3 linked regions of the Arabidopsis thaliana genome follow. The protein of the gene in region 1 interacts with the protein of each later gene in a pairwise test. Each region holds a gene or a part of one and is shown in the gene's direction. Other genes may lie near its edges.

Region 1 (7,453 bases):
GTATCCAAAATTCCAAAGTGATTATGTCGTAAGATATGGGCCTAAAGTCCATAAACGTGAAAAAGCTTCTTCGATTAAGGTAAAACAAGCAAGTTTTCACGTTATCTTCACTAGATATATGTCTATCAATATTGATGATAATATTAAAGTCAAATTTCACAAACCTCGAACGAAGCTGCAATGTCAAGCGAAGAAATTTGCCAGCAGCAGAGAAAACGAGAACATCTTCTTTCCAGCATGATTGCAAGCTCTCCAAAAGACTAACGCTCTGTCTGAGCATCAAGTTGCGGGAAATCGGGTTTATATGAGTCAGAAACCTGAATGAAAACAAGAGAAGCTGAGAAGCCACTACTCTAATGGCAAGTATAGCCATCTATGATAGTTCTCGAGTACCTCAGTGAAAAGTACACTCCCACATTCCATTACTTCATGAATTCAGTACATATCGCTTGAGAGTTACATCAGACCTTGACGGACAATAACTTCTTTCAGGATAGATTTTGCTAAGAAGTTGTCTGTTTTAGCAACAAGATACAAAGAAAAGAGTACAATGAGTGAAATGTAAAACGACATCATAGAAGGAAACAATGTCCAATTATGATTAATGAACAAGGTTGGTAATACATCAAAATATGAAGTCTGAGATGGATCTCGGTGCTGAAGACGGTAACTTTCACGACCTGACATTTTCGAATCGCTGTTTCCCCTCCCCTGTGCAGACCACCGGCGATGGAGGAGTTTGTCATATAGTGTCTCTGTATTTAGACTGCGTGCCGAATTAAAGTTATAGAGCAGAACTCCGTGTCGGCATGGCTCAATCCAATTCGGTTCGGTTCGGTTCGGTTTAAGTAAGAAGAAAAAAACTTGATGAATAAGGCGATTCTGGTCTTTTTGTTTTCTGTCTTGTTTTGCCTATAAGGCTTAAAATAACATGGGCTTAAAGCCCAATAGTCAATAAACGAGGATAAGCTTCTTCGACTAGGGTAAAACAAGTCTTCACTATATATACAATGCATCTTCGATTATAACCCCCAATTCTTAGATATTAGGGCTTATGTTCTAAATCGTGTTATTCGTATTTATCGTTTTTTTTTTAAATCGTTGCGCAGCCCTTAAGATCGCCTTCCACAAATGCTTAATGGAAGCGTGTCGAGTCATTGCTGCGCTAAATCGAAATTTATTAAGGGTTTTTGATTAGGGTTCTCCTAAGAACTAACCCAGTTTTTACCTTCCTGATTTATTATAGGTCGAGTTTTTTTATATCGGCATTAGATCTGGAATTAAGGTCCTCTCTCGCTGACTCTTCAGATATAAGTGTTTATCTCTTTTATCTGCTAGAGATCTTTGCGTTTGAGGATTTTCAGATTTTAATTTCGTTCATTTAGTATCTCGTTCTATATAATCGGGTAGGATACATTGTTTTTATTGGTTTTGCAATGAAACGGCGAGAATGATGAACCAATTAGATGTGCGAATGAGGGGTAATTTCCTCATTATGAGCTTAAAACTGTTTGAGGCATATTTAACATCTCTGACTTCGCCGCTTTTCAAAAGTTTTGTTTGAGTTTTTATTGTTTGTTTTGGTTTGATGGAATAGTGGAAAATGAGGAACATATAACTCAAACGTGAATCAAACCATGTACCAGTTTTTGCTTATTGATATTCTGATTCCACCATTTGAAATGAATAACCATATTTGCTTTGTTTTCTTGATTTGGTTTGCTGTGTTTACGATGAACTCTCATTTGCTTCTCTGTATTTATTATCTTTTTATTAAGAAGATCAACTCATACGAAATGGTGATGTTTCAAAGTGAATTACTTCCAACCTTGATATCCTTAAGTTACAATTAGCGACTCATGAACTAATCGAAATATGGTTTGCCTTAGTTTGCCGTAAAGTAAGTGATATACTGATATGTAAACGATGTTGGCATGGACTATCTTTCAAAGACAACACCTGAAACAGAATTCTTGAGCTTGGACATGGAAGTGACTAATAATGGAAAATTGTTTATAGATAAAAAAAATAATACCAAATATGAATTGTTAACGACATTTCAATTTTGTATGTCCACTCGGAGATCTTCCTTTGGTTTTACAAACATAAATCAATATCAGAAGTCATAAGATTAGTCTATGGGATTGGCTATTATTTTGTTGTCAGGTGGCAATACTTACCCCAAAATGCCCATCGTTGGTTCAATATGAATATATGATCATCCTATATAGCTCTTTCCTGAGGAAAACAACCAAATATAGCTCTTTCCATTGATCTATTAAAGATGTCATCTCAACAAACCTCAATACTATTAGGAGATAGCTTGCAAATCTTATATCATGTGAGATATCATGAATTCAATTTGAAAAGAGTGAATAAATGGCTTGTTAACTCTTTAACTTTGACAATGATGACTTGATTTTGTGTTAGTTTGCTACCAATATCAAAGCCATTCATAGTGGATGGTTGTAAACTGCCCATTTTTTTTCTGTACAACCTTCTCTCCGTTAACATCTTTGCAAATGAACCCATTGAAGTATAGTACAATATCAAACAAACACATAATGTTTGAGTATTCCCATTAAAAGAGGATTGCAATCAGATAAAAAATATATAAATTACCAAATGGAATAGATCTTAAAAGAAAATAATTACCAAATGGTATTTTACCATATTATAGATTTTTTTATAATAAGTAAAATAATAATAAAATATAAAAGAAAAAAAAGAGTCTAAAAAGGCCCAAAACACTAACAGTCAAAAAAAGGCCTAAAACACAAACCGTCTAAAAAGGCCCAAAACATAGTTCGGCTTAAACGACCCAAACCACAACAAAAACCACCCGATTATCTTTTTCTCTCGGATTGGCGTTAAAAATTTTACTGGCGAGATTTCGGATTGAGGAAAAGAAAAGTGACTGGAATTTAGGGTTTAGACTCCGGCGAAGAAGGAGATTTCAAAGCTTCGAAGACAGAGAAAATGTCGTCGACTCTCCTCGAGCAAACTCGCTCCAATCACGAAGAGGTTGAAAGGTTGGAGCGATTGGTTGTGGAAGATCTACAGAAGGAGCCACCGTCCAGCAAGGACAGATTGGTCCAGGGACATCGTGTTCGTCACATGATTGAGTCTATTATGCTCACCACTGAGAAACTTGTACGCTTTCTCTCTTCTTCTCGTCAATTTTTAATCTTCTTTTCTATTTCCCGCATATGTTTTTATGTCTCTTCTCTTTTGAATACGTTAGATCAGAGCAGAGAAACTTGGGTTGCTGATTTTTTTTTAAATAACAGGTTCGTGTTGAGTGTTGCCTCTTTTTCTGTTAATTGCTTTAGCTTTTTAGGTTATCATTGTGGGGTTTAAGTTAGCTTTGAATCACTCTGGCTTGGGTGTTAAATTGAGAAGAAACTTCAGAGATTGGTGTTGAATATAGGTTATAGTTGGGGTCTTAAGTGTGTATGTAGGGATTCTAAGTTTTGAGCTAAGCATGCTTCAGTGTTATTTCACAAATTTGAGTTAATTTTTGTTGTTGATAATTAACTCAAACTTGGATTAATGCTAACCTTGATTCTTGTTTGTTGTAAGGTTGAAACCTATGAAGATAAGGATGGGGCGTGGGATGATGAGATTGCAGCGCTTGGTGGCCAGACTGCGACAGGGACAAATGTGTTTAGTGAATTTTACGATCGTTTGAAAGAGGTTTGTTCTTTATCCTTTGCACCTTCCTTGGTCTTTTTTCCCTAAAACTTGCCTATGGTTCTCTATACCAAGACTTGGCTTTACTTTAGTTTCTGTGGGTTGTATATTAGAGATTGAGCAGCTAACTTTACCGGACTATTAGTTAATCTAGACATTGTTATTTAGCTGTTGATCTTTTAAAAAAAAATAGTTTTATTGATTGCCTTGAACCACTGTGATGGAGAATCAAGAATTATGTACAAAATCTCAGTGAAAGTGTATTAGTTCTGTTCCATCAACAATTTGGTTAGCTGTATAAGGCTTGCTTTGCATAAGAGTATTAAGGCGGTGAAATTTTCATGAGGACACCCTGAATAAGATTCAAATTGCTAATTCGTTTTTTTTTTATTGTCTGAATTATTTGATTTTCTTGTACCACTGATGAAAGCATCAGAGCTGCAACTATTTAACTTCTTTTATAAACTTACAGATACGTGAATATCATAAAAGGCATCCTTCTGGACGTCTTGTTGATGCTAATGAAGACTACGAAGCACGCCTGAAGGAGGAACCAATTATTGCGTTCAGTGGAGAGGTAGGTTTCTGCTTGACTTTTTATTGTTGCTATTTGTTGACGCATTTTTTAACAGTTTGTAAGCCCCTTTTTTATTGTCAATACTTAAATCTTCTTGTCTGTTACGCAGGAAGGCAATGGTCGGTACTTGGACTTGCATGATATGTATAACCAGTACATCAACTCTAAATTTGGGGAAAGGGTTGAATATTCTGCTTACCTTGATGTTTTTTCTCAACCAGAGAAAATACCGCGTAAACTGAAGTTATCGAGGTAAACACTTCATTGGAATTTTCTTTTACTTAGAAAGCCTCCAATTATTTTTCTAGCTGCAGCTGAATGGCTTTCCTTTTTGTATTGCTATTTTTCATTTTAGGCAATACATGAAGTATATGGAAGCTCTACTTGAGTACCTGGTCTACTTCTTCCAGCGAACCGAGCCGTTGCAAGATCTTGACCGGATACTTTCTAAGGTTTAAGCTCCTCCCTTTCTTTATCATTTTATTGCGTTTACCTTGTTGCCTTATGAAATTTTATGGGCGTTTCGAACTATGCATTAGTACATAACTGGTATATTTATTCGTGCTTAAGAAGTTTCTACTAGTTTCCCAAGTATTAAGTGTAGAACTTTGGATTTGATTTCCTTAGTTCTAACAACTGGTTGCTTTGTGAGTCTTTCATCCCCCTGGAGATAATACATAATTTTGGAAAATAAATGGCCATAACTAGATGGTTGTATTCAATATTCATTGGTGCATAGTTTGCTCTAAGTGCAGAGATTGTATATCCTCGGAAGGTTTTGAACCATGTTATAGTTTGACATTCTGGTAGTTCTAGTTTGGCCAATGCTGTGCCTATTGTTTGATCTGTTGCGATTAATATGTTTGGTTCTTTTACAGGTTTGTTCTGATTTTGAAGAGCAATATGCAGATGGAATAGTAGAAGGCCTGGATAATGAACTTATTCCATCTCAGCATACTGTCATAGATCTTGATTACTACAGTACAGTCGAGGAACTGGTAGATGTAGGACCTGAAAAGCTAAAAGAGGTAATGACCATACTACTTCATGTTAATATCCTTTTTGAAGCATATTCCCCTAATCATATGTTCTTTGTATGCCATTCAGGCATTGGGGGCATTAGGACTGAAGGTTGGTGGTACTCCGCAGCAGCGTGCCGAGAGACTTTTCCTGACAAAGGTTTTTACACTTGCTATATAATCTCCTATTTCTTTAAGTTTCGTCTTATGAGAGGGTACTTTTATCAATTAGTAGCCGCGTTCTTGTTGTTCTTACTGGGTTTGGAAGGAACATTTAGCTGTTATGAAACCTAGTTTGGTAGTTCAGCTCAGCTCTTCTTCTAATATGAAACTAAGGCTTTTGTTGTCATAGTTCATGTTTTGTAGGGATTGAATTCTATTTGAAGCTTTTCTTATTACCTTGAGGTTATCTAATTCCCTTAATTAATTCAATTTTTGTACAGCATACGCCTTTGGAAAAGCTGGATAAGAAACATTTTGCCAGACCTCCACACAACGGAAAACAAAACGGAGATGCCAAATCAACACATGAGTCTGAAAATGCTAAAGAGATTGCACTAACAGAGGCCAAAGTGAAGAAACTCTGCAATTTACTTGATGAGGTTAGTTGATTGAAAGCTCATAGTGACATTTTTTTCCCCCTCCCAGATATCTAGTTGTACTTTTTCTGTTAACTTTTCTTGTTGTCACCTTTTATAGACCATCGAAAGGACAAAACAAAACATTGTAAAGAAACAGTCGTTGACATATGAAGAAATGGAGGGAGAACGTGAAGGGGAGGAAGCTAATACCGAATTAGAAAGTGATGACGAGGACGGTTTGATTTACAATCCGCTGAAGCTACCAATAGGTTGGGATGGGAAGCCTATACCATACTGGCTCTACAAACTTCATGGCCTTGGCCAGGTATGTAGTTTATTTATGAGACCATTGTTGTATCAAAGGAACATAGATTCACATTAAATTTCTTGTTATTACGCAGGAGTTTAAATGCGAGATATGTGGGAACTATAGCTATTGGGGAAGAAGGGCTTTTGAGAGACATTTTAAAGAATGGCGACACCAACACGGAATGCGTTGCCTAGGAATCCCAAACACAAAGAACTTCAACGAAATCACTTCGATTGAGGTAATAATATAATATGATCAAAGACTTTGTACAGCTTAAAGTAGTAAATAGTTTGGTAATTTGATCTTGTTGTTGTTTGGTTTGTTTCAGGAAGCCAAAGAATTGTGGAAGAGGATACAGGAGAGGCAAGGAGTGAACAAATGGAGGCCAGAACTTGAAGAAGAATATGAAGATCGTGAAGGTAACATTTACAACAAGAAGACTTACTCTGATCTTCAACGCCAAGGTCTCATCTGATTGATCACATCCTCTTGATGAAATCTTCTCTCCTTACTATATCCCTTTAAACCATATTCTACCTTTCGCCTTTGTAAAATCAAACCATTCGTCATCTTTTTGTGAGGTTTCGTCTCATTAAAACAGTATTTAGTTTATGTTTTTGAATTGACTATCACAATCGAGGATATAAAATTTGTTTTTGTATGGACAATGCTAGTAAGGAATAGTTGAGGACTTTACTTCAATAACAAGAAACAGATATGAGTTAATATAGGATACTACATGTAAGAATCAATCACTAAAGTTTTCAGATGATAGTGTACTCACAAATTTTGAACTAATTTTTTGATCTTTGATATTCTTACAAAATTGGAATGTTTTAATTTCCTTAATTATCCAATTCCTAACAAATCATTGGTTCCTTTTTTGATAAAACTTAAAATTTGAGTCAAACTTTATAAAAATTATCAAAATAAACAGATACAACCTCAATACCTCATACGACTGTCAAATTTTTTAAAGTAAGCTATCACATAGTTTACCTTTATTTTTTTTTATTATATTTATTTACGATATTTTTTTTTTTTGAAAAATACACAGATATTTGATTTTGGTCAGATATATGTCCATATACGAAGACTTTCAAATTTTATTTGTTTTCAAAAAACCTAAACATACAATCTCATTTTGCTATTTTGGAAAGAATAATGAAATATTCCTTTCTTAATCATATTCCAAAATTTTAATTAAGAAATAAAAGTTGGGATGGGCTTTACCTTTTTTATTTACAGTCCAACGGCCTCATTCGATGACTAG
Region 2 (4,950 bases), on another chromosome or scaffold:
GCACGACGGAGAATAAAGCTAAGGCGAAGAAGAGTGTCCGGCCATGAATCTGGAAGTTCCGGTCGTCGTATTGATTCTCGTGCCAGTACAAAAGCATCGAGGCTTGTGGAGACGGTGAAGATGACGTCATTTTCCGGTTGGCGATGGATGGTTACTTACTTAATTCTGGCCGTTGATATATAGTATGTATAAAAACAGCGTCGTGATGTATATATATAGTATACTAGTGCTAATCTCAGTCACGTGATTGTATTTCCTTAAATAAAATAACAGAAAGAGAATATTAATTTGAGTTAAACAGCTTCCACAAGTAGTACAACTGTCTGTACAAGCAAGACTCAAGTTTGAAGGAAAGTGGGATTTTTTTTTGTTACTTTATATATTGTTTTAATTTGTCTTAATTAGTTTAGGAACAATAATAAAGACTATATTAGGCAACATGCACGTACGTTTGTGTGTTTTCGAGATCCCAATGGTAGCAACTGGCAAGTAGCAACATACTAAAATAAATAGCATTGTTTAATTATGCGTACAAACGAAATTGGCTACATTTTTAGTTGCTTCACCACCTATACTTGATCATGGATTAGCTCGATTACTTGGCTGCAGGATGTGATATTTGATATTATTGTAAAGTGATTTAAGAGTAACAATAATCGATTGCGTCTAAGATTCAGTTGACAAACTAAATTGTTTTACGTTCCAACTCACATCACTTTGATAACCTGTAAATCATGATTTATCTTTTCACATCTGCGTTTTCATAAGAAAGTTTGAAATGTATAAAAGATGCATGTAAACCAGTAAATGATGATAATGACATATTTAGTTTAGAAAACTATATGTAGTGATGTTAATATGGGCTAACCCACCCCAATTAAACCCATCCCATTTAAACCCACTCCATTTAACTTTAAACTCATATAAATCCATTTATTTTTGAAACCCATTTAACCCTACCCATTTAAATTTAGTAAATCCATGTGAACCCATTTAAACCAATTAAGTGAGATATTGCCTTTTATTAATTAATTCATAAACTTAATAGATAAATAACAACAGTCCATAAACATTAGCTAAATCTGAAATATTTATAATTTACTAAAATATAGATTTCAATAACATATAATGATAATAATATTTTCAAATTTGGCAAAAAATATTTTTTTTTGTGATTTTGGCGGGAAAACTTGATTTTACGGTTTTACGGGAAAATGTCGTTTACGGTTTTGGCGGAAATACGTGATTTTACGGTTTTGGCGGAAAACACTTTTTGTGATTTTGGCGGGAAAACGTGATTTTACGGTTTTGGCGGGAAAACGTGATTTTACGATTTTGGCGGGAAAACGTGATTTTACGATTTTGGCGGGTAAACGTGATTTTACGGGTTTGGCGAAAATACGTGATTTTCAATTTTGGTGGGAAAACGTCATTTTACAGTTTTGGCGGGAAAACGTGATTTTACGATTTTGGCGGAAAAACGTCGGTTTACGATTTTGGTGGGAAAATGTGATTTTCGATTTTGGTAAAAAACGTGATTTTGGTGGGAAAACGTAATTTTATGGGTTTTAGCGGAAAAACGTGATTTTACGTTTTGTTTTAAATATATTTAGTATTTTGCTCTTTATTTTAGTTATAATTAAGTTATCTACTTTTTAATAAAAATAACTAATATAAAATAAAACATAAATGGGTACCCATTTGTTTGTGGGTAAACCCATTTATTAAATAGGTTTAATTGGGGTAACCCATTTAACCCCATTTGATATTTTTCTCTAAATGGGTTTAAATGGGTTATTTTTTTTTGCACATACCCATTTAACAAATGGCTATTCAATGCCCAAGTTAACATCACTAACTATATGCTTATTTCTACTAGCTCTTCACCAAGACCATCGTGGAAACTTTGATCGACAGAAAAAACACCTCAGCTCTTTTTTCAAATATTTCAGCGACATTTTAGTAGTTATGAGGAAACAGTAGTAGTTAGGCATGGACTAACATATCAATTGGCGAGACAGCAAAAAGACAATTAGACAAGACACGGCACGAAACATACATTATAGACATAGAGTCTACGACCTAACACGTTTGCGATGCTCTCTCTTATTACCTAACAATTCGCCTGCTTACCTATTTCCTTAATTACATCCCACCATTTTTCACTTCCAAACTTCAATTTGTTACGGCGTAACGTAAATGATCTTGTTACTGGAATACACAAAACGTATAAATTTTCTTAATATTCTGATAACATTTCTTTCTTTCCAATTATGACTTTTAAAAACCACTACCAAAACTAATACAACCTCATATTTACTGTCTTTCCTAGAATACACAAAAATACACGTTATAAGATTTCCTATAATGACATGAACTGATGAGATTCTAGCCCTAATCGTTATTATCAATCAGTCTATGAGTTTAATAATGTAATCTTATCATCATTACCCGTAGAAACGCATTAAAAGAAGCTTGAAATTGACTATAACTAGTAGTAGCCTAGTTAGTAGGACTCTCAATTTATGATTAAACCGGTTTTCGATAACCGTTTTCGATAACCGGTTTTTCAGAAATGAGTGTGATTGATTCGGTTAGCAGAGGAAAAAGAGAGAGGTAGGAGAAAGAAGATAATCGCCGTTGCTGACGTCACCGCCGGTAATCAAAAATCTCTCCTTTAACCGTAATTTCTCTTTTAACTTTACCAAAAATCCGATCCAACAGAAATTCTTATCCTAAGCCTCTTTCTCCACCGCGCACGTTAGCCTCCTCTCTTTCCCACTCCGAGATGGAGACGACGCCGGAGACTCAGTCGAAGACTCACCGTCTACCGGCGGGAAGAGAGGATTGGTGGAGCGAAGACGCTACGGCGACATTGATCGAAGCTTGGGGAGATCGTTACGTCAATCTCAACCGGGGAAATCTCCGGCAAAACGATTGGAAAGAAGTCGCCGACGCCGTCAATTCAAGCCACGGGAATGGCCGGCCAAAGACCGATGTACAGTGCAAAAACCGGATCGATACGTTGAAGAAGAAGTACAAAACTGAAAAGGCGAAACCTTTATCGAATTGGTGCTTCTTTGATAGACTCGATTTCTTAATCGGTCCGGTTATGAAGAAATCGTCCGGTGCTGTTGTTAAATCGGCGTTGATGAACCCTAATTTGAATCCTACTGGATCTAAATCAACTGGTAGCTCTCTCGATGACGATGATGATGATGATGATGACGACGAAGAAGATGATGATGATGCGGGTGATTGGGGATTTGTGGTGAGGAAGCATCGTAAAGTTGAAGATGTAGATTCGAGTGAAGGATCAGCCTTTAGGGAGCTAGCGAGATCGATTCTGAAGTTAGGGGAAGCGTTTGAGAGAATCGAGGGGAAGAAGCAACAGATGATGATTGAATTGGAGAAACAGAGAATGGAAGTTGCAAAGGAGCTTGAGTTACAACGAATGAATATGTTGATGGAGATGCAATTGGAGCTTGAGAAATCTAAACTTGGGAAACGAAGAGCTGCTTCAGGTAAAGTTTTCATTTTTATGTGTGTTTTGTTGTGATTGATGAGTTTACTGAAACTTCAGTTGTGCTTTGTTTGTTGTATAGGTAAGAAGTTGTAGGATTGTAGATTGTGGAGGAGTTACTGATGTGAAGCAAGGAGCAATGGTTGGATCTAAAGCTCATACGATTTGGAGAAGATGTTATTATTATTGATCTTTAGGTTTTCTTAAGTTATAGCGCGATGCTTTTTTTCTTCTTCTTCTTTTTCATTCTCTTTTTTAGCATTGTAGAGTTACATTGGTAGTAGCAATGCGAATTACCAAAAGAACTCTCATAGTATCTGACATATCAAGATGTACTTTTGTGAAGTATCAATGTATGATGGTTTGTGTATCAGTGTCTGCAGTTCCAAATTGTGCTCATCTCTCTTTCTGTGATCTGCAATTACTCTTTTGCTTAGGCAGGTTTCAGGAATGTGTACAGACTTAACAAGATGCGTAGAACGGTTCTGAGGAGAACTCTTATCAGAGTCATTCATAATTCAGTTTGGAATTTGATCAAACCCACCAAGCTATTGATTTGGATGTTTGCTTATGTGACTTTGCTGCACTCTGGAATCTCCAGGACAAGACTCTTGTGGCCTGAGGGAGACGAGTTGACACATGAGGCTGTATTATTGGAGCCTCAAAAAAGAACATCATAGAAGCATATATATCAATGTTTCATGTTTGGTAGAATTTCGGGATGACATAAGCATGTGCTCTCCTATTCATACCTGACTTACAAAGAAGCTCTTCATCTAAAACACCTCACTTTACTCACCTTGGCCTACCACTTGGTCCAAAACTGGTAAGGACTCTGACCTTCCAAGGCTCATCTTGTACCTGAGTTATCTCATCGCATGTGATGGTTACTTTTGAAGTTAAAACCCTTTTTCATACATATGATGAAGTAAGCATCTGATTATGCATACTGGAATTCATACATTAGGGACAGACTTTAGATTGTCAAAGATAACTTGTAAAGCAAAGTGCAAATACAGCTGATAAAGAGATATATGATAGAGAGATAAGGCCTATACAAAAGGAGGCTGTCCAAGATCATACAAGTAAGCATCAAGATTAGTAGACCCATCAAGCAACATCAAGTCACTATAAGGTACAAGATCAAGAAAAGCAGCAAGCTCAGGAGAATCATCCAAAGGGGACACTTGGCTGTTGTTGACCCCAGAATGGGCAAGTAGTCGAGTGCGAGCAACAGCTAGATCGTGTTGAAGCTCGAGCATCTTCTTCTGCAGAGACGCTATGGCTCCAATGCAACCGTAAACAGGATCCTTGAGACGAACCTCAGCTTCATAAGCCAAGGAGTTAACGGTTTCTTGTCTCTGTTCTTCAGGAACTTCACCGAGAAGCTTACTGACGTTGCTGGCTCCAAAGACTTTATGGACTTT
Region 3 (5,330 bases), on another chromosome or scaffold:
AGGAAAAAATATATATTAAATAATTTACCATTTTCATTAATTATGTTTTTTCTTAATAATTGAATAATTTGAAAAATATTCTTGTGGTCCCTTTTATTTTATTTGTTTCTTATACCTCGAATACAAGTCGCTTTTTTTTTTACATCACCTCGAATAAAAGTCACTTGACGTGTGAATAAATACATAGTATGGACGACGGGAAATTAAATTAAATTATATGGAGTATGCATTTATTTGCCATTATTCTGATGATATCGTAAACCGTAAGGTACAAAGAAAATAAAAGAGTTGTTTTTGAAAAAGCTGCTACAATGGAAGGAATTTTACCAGAGTCCAGAAGAATAGACAACACATAGAAACAAGAAGAAAACAAAAGAAAAAGATAAAAGTATCTCAATTTTTGTTTTTTTTGTATTATAAAATAAAAGCCCACAAGGTCACAAGGAAATTATAAACTAAGAAAGTGAACTGCTCTTATTTCTTAATTGTGTTTTGTGTAATTAAGACTTGAATGGTCATTAGCAATTGCCGCAATTTGGTAGTTAGTGCTTCTTTTACGAATCAATAAAAATGAGATTAGTCCCCACTCACCTAGAGGAACAACCGCCACCGTAGTTGAGACAACAACTTGTCGTGTTTGTTAGAACTTTTCTAAAACGAATTAAGTTTGTCGATTAGAACAATTATACCTAAAAGGTCAAAACATGAAAATGAAACATATTTTTTGACCGTCAAAAAGAAAAATATATCTTAAAACATTAGTCATCAAGAAGCAGAAATAATAATCTTAAGCAAGAAAGTAATAGTTTTCAGGTAAAATCTTAATATGTATTGGTGATTTGATGTTTTCATTTGTTTGATTTTAAAGAAATATAAAAATAGGGATTAGTGATAATTAAGTCGAAAATGTAAAGCAATAAAAAAAATCTATTTACCAAGACTTACTATATATACTTTTAGGCCAAAATTTACAATTCTGCCACCCAAGAGCAATTGTTCATATATCATCTATAACATAGAGTCTAATTTTACAACACTGATAGCCCGCAATATAAACCAAAAACTTTATATTATCAAAACTTAATAATAATCGAGATTTTGGTCTTAACAAAACTCGTAACAAACTTTGGTTTATGAATATATTTCAGTAACTATATTATCAGTTGATTATGATATTTTTATTTTATTGTTTATCTTTTGATTCTTTCTCACAATTGTATGTTCCAGAAAACGGATGATCATGGTATATAAGTGCACATATTTGGTAGGACCAATAATTAATAGTAACTTCAAGTAAATCATATAAATTCACAAGCATGACATGACAACCTCTTGAAGCTAATATCATACGTGACATAATTAATGGCGAAGGCCGAAGGGTAAAGGAACAATATGTGTTTTTAATTAACTAGCTTAACAAGTTAAGGCTTTATAGTAATGTTTAGAACATTCTTTCGTTTTGAATTAGTATCAATCTCACACTTTTAAATTTTAAGATGGTAAAAAATATTATTATTATACCTTACTACCAAATTTTTAGTTATTTAATGTTTTGGAACAAAGATGAGATATTGTTATTTATTATGACTTTCTCTTTGTTATCTACTTCAATACTCTTCCCACTAATTATCTGACACGTTTCTACACTGTTGTAAATTTGATGTCTGATAGTGCAAGACAAGCAATCTCCCATAATCCTAATTCTTGGCTCTCTTCTTTTTTTTCTTTCCCTTTACTGATAATTTGTTTTGGGTGAATATGAAAATCTTAGAGCATCCACATTACTCATACCTTTGTAGATATCTCAAAAATAAATTAAAATTAAATTAAAGACAGCTTCTATTTTAGAGATCTAAAATGTCTTTCTAAAGACACTATTACACAATTAAAAACATTAAATTATCTTTTTCTATTATTTTTAATTTAAAGACACCCTCAAAGTATCACCAATGAAGAATGAGGATGGTCTTATATTCAATATAACCTTCAATTCATCAATGACTGCGATATATCAATATTATAAAATGACATTTCATGAGTAAAAATGTATATAAAAATGAATAACTACTTATCTTATAAAGTCTAATTTAGTGATTGTTGTTGTTTCTTCAAATTTTAAATTAAATGATGTAGCTTTTTTTGTTTCAAATAATTTAGCTACACTTTTTCTTTTCCATATTTTGATCACAATTGTATTGTTTTTGTCTATATATTATCACCCAAATTTTAATTTGGTAGAGACATTATTGAATAAAATATCCTATATATGAATTAATAAAATGAAAACTAGGTGTAATTAATTAATGATCTTTTTTCTCTTTGTCTGTAGAAAAGTGAGGAAATAATTAGCTATGGCTATGGCTCTCATGTGTCTTTCTCATGCTTTATTGGCTTTCACTACTAATACTCTAAGCCCTTAGTTTAAGAAGTGCCTTCACATCCAAAACCCACCTGCAATTCTCTCTTTCTCTCTCTCTCTCTCTCTCTCTTTATCTTCTTTCTTCAAAGTCTATCACTTTATAAAACCCTAATTAAATCTCTAAACTCCTTAGCCTCTCTCTATTCTCAGAACCTTGTGGTTATTCTCAAGAAAGGTTTCATTTTGAGATAAAGTTTGCTGCTCTTTCTGGTTGTGGGTATGTGCTCTTAACTTCTTCAGTCAATTTTTTCATTTGGTTTAAATAGAACAATTTTGTTTTGGTGATACAATAAAGATTGTCTTCTTGATTATCATCAACCTCTCACTTGGAATAAGACCTTTCTTTCTCAAGTGGGTTTGTCAGCTTTTGCTTAAGCAGGCTTGCAATAAGTTTTTCTTTTCTTTTGTACTTTTTCGTTTTGTTCTCTATCTTTATGGACCTTCTAAAATTAGGGTTTTTCTTTTTGTTTGGAGGAAATAATTAAAAAAATGGGGTTAATGAGTAGTGAAGAAAGCTCTTGCCTTTTTGTAGCTTAATCATTTGAATTTTACTCATTAATTATCTTTACTCTTGTTTTTTTCTTCCTAACTAGTTTCTTTGTCCCCAAACCAAGAAACACTTTGCAAAACCCAAAAAAAGTTTTAAATATAAAATCGTGTTTATTTCCTTGGCAGATAGATCAAAAGAATGGAGATTGCAAGTCAAGAAGATCCTATTCCAATAAACACTAGTTATGGTAATAGTGGAGGTGGGCATGGGAACATGAACCATCATCATCATGCCAATTCTGCACCATCATCTCTCAACATTACTACTTCAAACCCACTACTAGTCTCCTCAAATAGTAATGGTCTTGGTAAAAATCATGATCATTCTCATCATCATCATGTGGGTTACAACATCATGGTTACCAACATCAAGAAAGAGAAGCCTGTGGTGATAAAGTACAAGGAATGCCTAAAGAACCATGCAGCTACCATGGGAGGCAATGCCATTGATGGTTGTGGAGAGTTTATGCCAAGTGGTGAAGAAGGTTCCATTGAAGCTCTCACTTGCTCAGTTTGCAACTGCCATAGAAACTTTCATAGAAGAGAAACCGAAGGTGAAGAGAAAACATTCTTTTCCCCTTACCTCAACCACCACCAACCACCTCCGCAGCAGAGAAAACTCATGTTCCACCACAAGATGATCAAATCACCATTACCACAACAAATGATAATGCCTATTGGCGTTACAACCGCTGGATCCAACTCAGAGTCAGAGGATCTTATGGAGGAAGAAGGCGGAGGAAGCTTGACATTCCGGCAGCCACCACCACCACCATCACCGTATAGTTACGGACATAATCAGAAGAAAAGGTTTAGGACAAAGTTTACACAAGAGCAAAAGGAGAAGATGATTAGTTTTGCGGAAAGAGTTGGTTGGAAGATTCAGAGACAAGAGGAATCTGTTGTTCAACAGCTTTGTCAAGAGATTGGAATTAGGAGAAGAGTTCTTAAAGTTTGGATGCACAACAACAAACAAAATCTCTCCAAGAAGAGCAACAACGTTAGTAACAATGTCGACCTTTCTGCTGGTAATAACGACATTACTGAAAATCTTGCTTCTACTAATCCTTAGTTAAGTTCAGATTGTTGTTATATAACTTCACTCATGTGATTACTTAATTAATTAAGTACTTTCTTATCGTATGGTTAATGTTTTCTCCTTTCTCGGCTAATCATTGTTTAGGTAGCTTTATAAACATGTGTTTTATTAGGGTACCTATAATCTTGGTTTTGGAGCGTGTAAGATAAGTTTTTGATGTTTTCTTATAATGTATGTTTAAGAAAATTCTTGGCGATTTAACCAATGCATTGGGATGTGCACTGTTATTATTTACTTCGAATCATTAGACTTTGTAGTTCGTGATATCATTTGTCACGTTTACTATTTATGTGAGTAGCAGAATTTTAGATTCTCATAGGTAACTCTTTTTGTTTTTGTTTTTTGAATTCTGATATTTATTAAAGGAAGTGTATCATACAAAGTCCATAACAAAATTAATACTAGTTACCTAAATCTTACGCCGGTCTTGTTTTGATTTGTCTTGTTTCTTTTTTGTCGTTGTTTTGATTTAACAAAATATTTTTTTTTGATTTGTCTTGTTTTTTAAACATCCGGTCTTGCTTTGATTCTATTATTTTGTTTTCTAGTTTGAAAAAATATTTTCATTCTCATGATCGAAAAATAAATTGCACGGAAAACAAAGAGAGCAATAAATTACGATTTCTATCAATGGAGAGAGTTGGAGATTGTCCTGGCGAGTGTAAGTCAAGTCCTAATATGTATGACGTATTAGGTTGAGTAAATGTTTGGTTGGTGTACTAGTAAACTCATTTATGGACCTTTTCTTTTATTTGAACAATTATGTGCATTTACTTTATGTGACTTCTTGGCATATTGCAAGTCGTGTAATGTGATATGGGATAAAATATGTCATGCATCAAAATGGAGTTACGATTTTAAGATGTTGTTGTTCCTTGTGATATCACATGTTTCATTTATTGTAATATTAAATGTAACATTTTCACTTGTTGTTTTATAGTAGTATAATTTTTTATGCCTATAGTTTATCACTCGATTTCAGTAAAACATCAATAATGAATTGCGTATTGCGTATTTCGTGGAAGATAAAAATTCAATTAACTGACATAGTTTATTGATTGCCATTACTATTATTTTGTTATTGAAACGTCATTTTATTCAAATATATTTTTATCTCCTTCAAGATTGACATAGCATTATAGCACTATAACAATATAAAATATATATATATATATATATATATATATAAATTATCCAACTCTTTACATATGATCGATACATCATCACTTTAACATTTATCATGTGTCTATTAAATAATTAATG

The links.
Region 2: the proteins of ATO (region 1) and AT3G11100 interact in binary tests that used the Arabidopsis thaliana proteins (3 or more experiments, as listed by UniProt).
Region 3: the proteins of ATO (region 1) and HB21 interact in binary tests that used the Arabidopsis thaliana proteins (3 or more experiments, as listed by UniProt).

The regions. Positions count from the first base shown.
Region 1 is NC_003076.8:1,861,825-1,869,277, reverse strand, and holds ATO (splicing factor-like protein), read left to right. Parts: upstream 1-2,844; 5' UTR 2,845-2,979; coding exon 2,980-3,153; intron 3,154-3,582; coding exon 3,583-3,696; intron 3,697-4,165; coding exon 4,166-4,270; intron 4,271-4,379; coding exon 4,380-4,522; intron 4,523-4,625; coding exon 4,626-4,722; intron 4,723-5,148; coding exon 5,149-5,298; intron 5,299-5,377; coding exon 5,378-5,449; intron 5,450-5,732; coding exon 5,733-5,891; intron 5,892-5,988; coding exon 5,989-6,195; intron 6,196-6,271; coding exon 6,272-6,418; intron 6,419-6,508; coding exon 6,509-6,655; 3' UTR 6,656-6,953; downstream 6,954-7,453. UniProt on the Arabidopsis thaliana protein: Splicing factor homolog to SF3a60 that may be involved in pre-spliceosome formation. Is necessary for gametic cell fate determination.
Region 2 is NC_003074.8:3,475,159-3,480,108, reverse strand, and holds AT3G11100 (sequence-specific DNA binding transcription factor), read left to right. Parts: upstream 1-2,208; 5' UTR 2,209-2,788; coding exon 2,789-3,524; intron 3,525-3,605; coding exon 3,606-3,619; 3' UTR 3,620-3,922; downstream 3,923-4,950. Other genes in the region: AT3G11110 (RING/U-box superfamily protein), read right to left, coding at 1-130; LBD21 (LOB domain-containing protein 21), read right to left, coding at 4,576-4,950.
Region 3 is NC_003071.7:681,195-686,524, forward strand, and holds HB21 (homeobox protein 21), read left to right. Parts: upstream 1-2,440; 5' UTR 2,441-2,636; intron 2,637-3,094; 5' UTR 3,095-3,107; coding exon 3,108-4,040; 3' UTR 4,041-4,302; downstream 4,303-5,330. UniProt on the Arabidopsis thaliana protein: Putative transcription factor.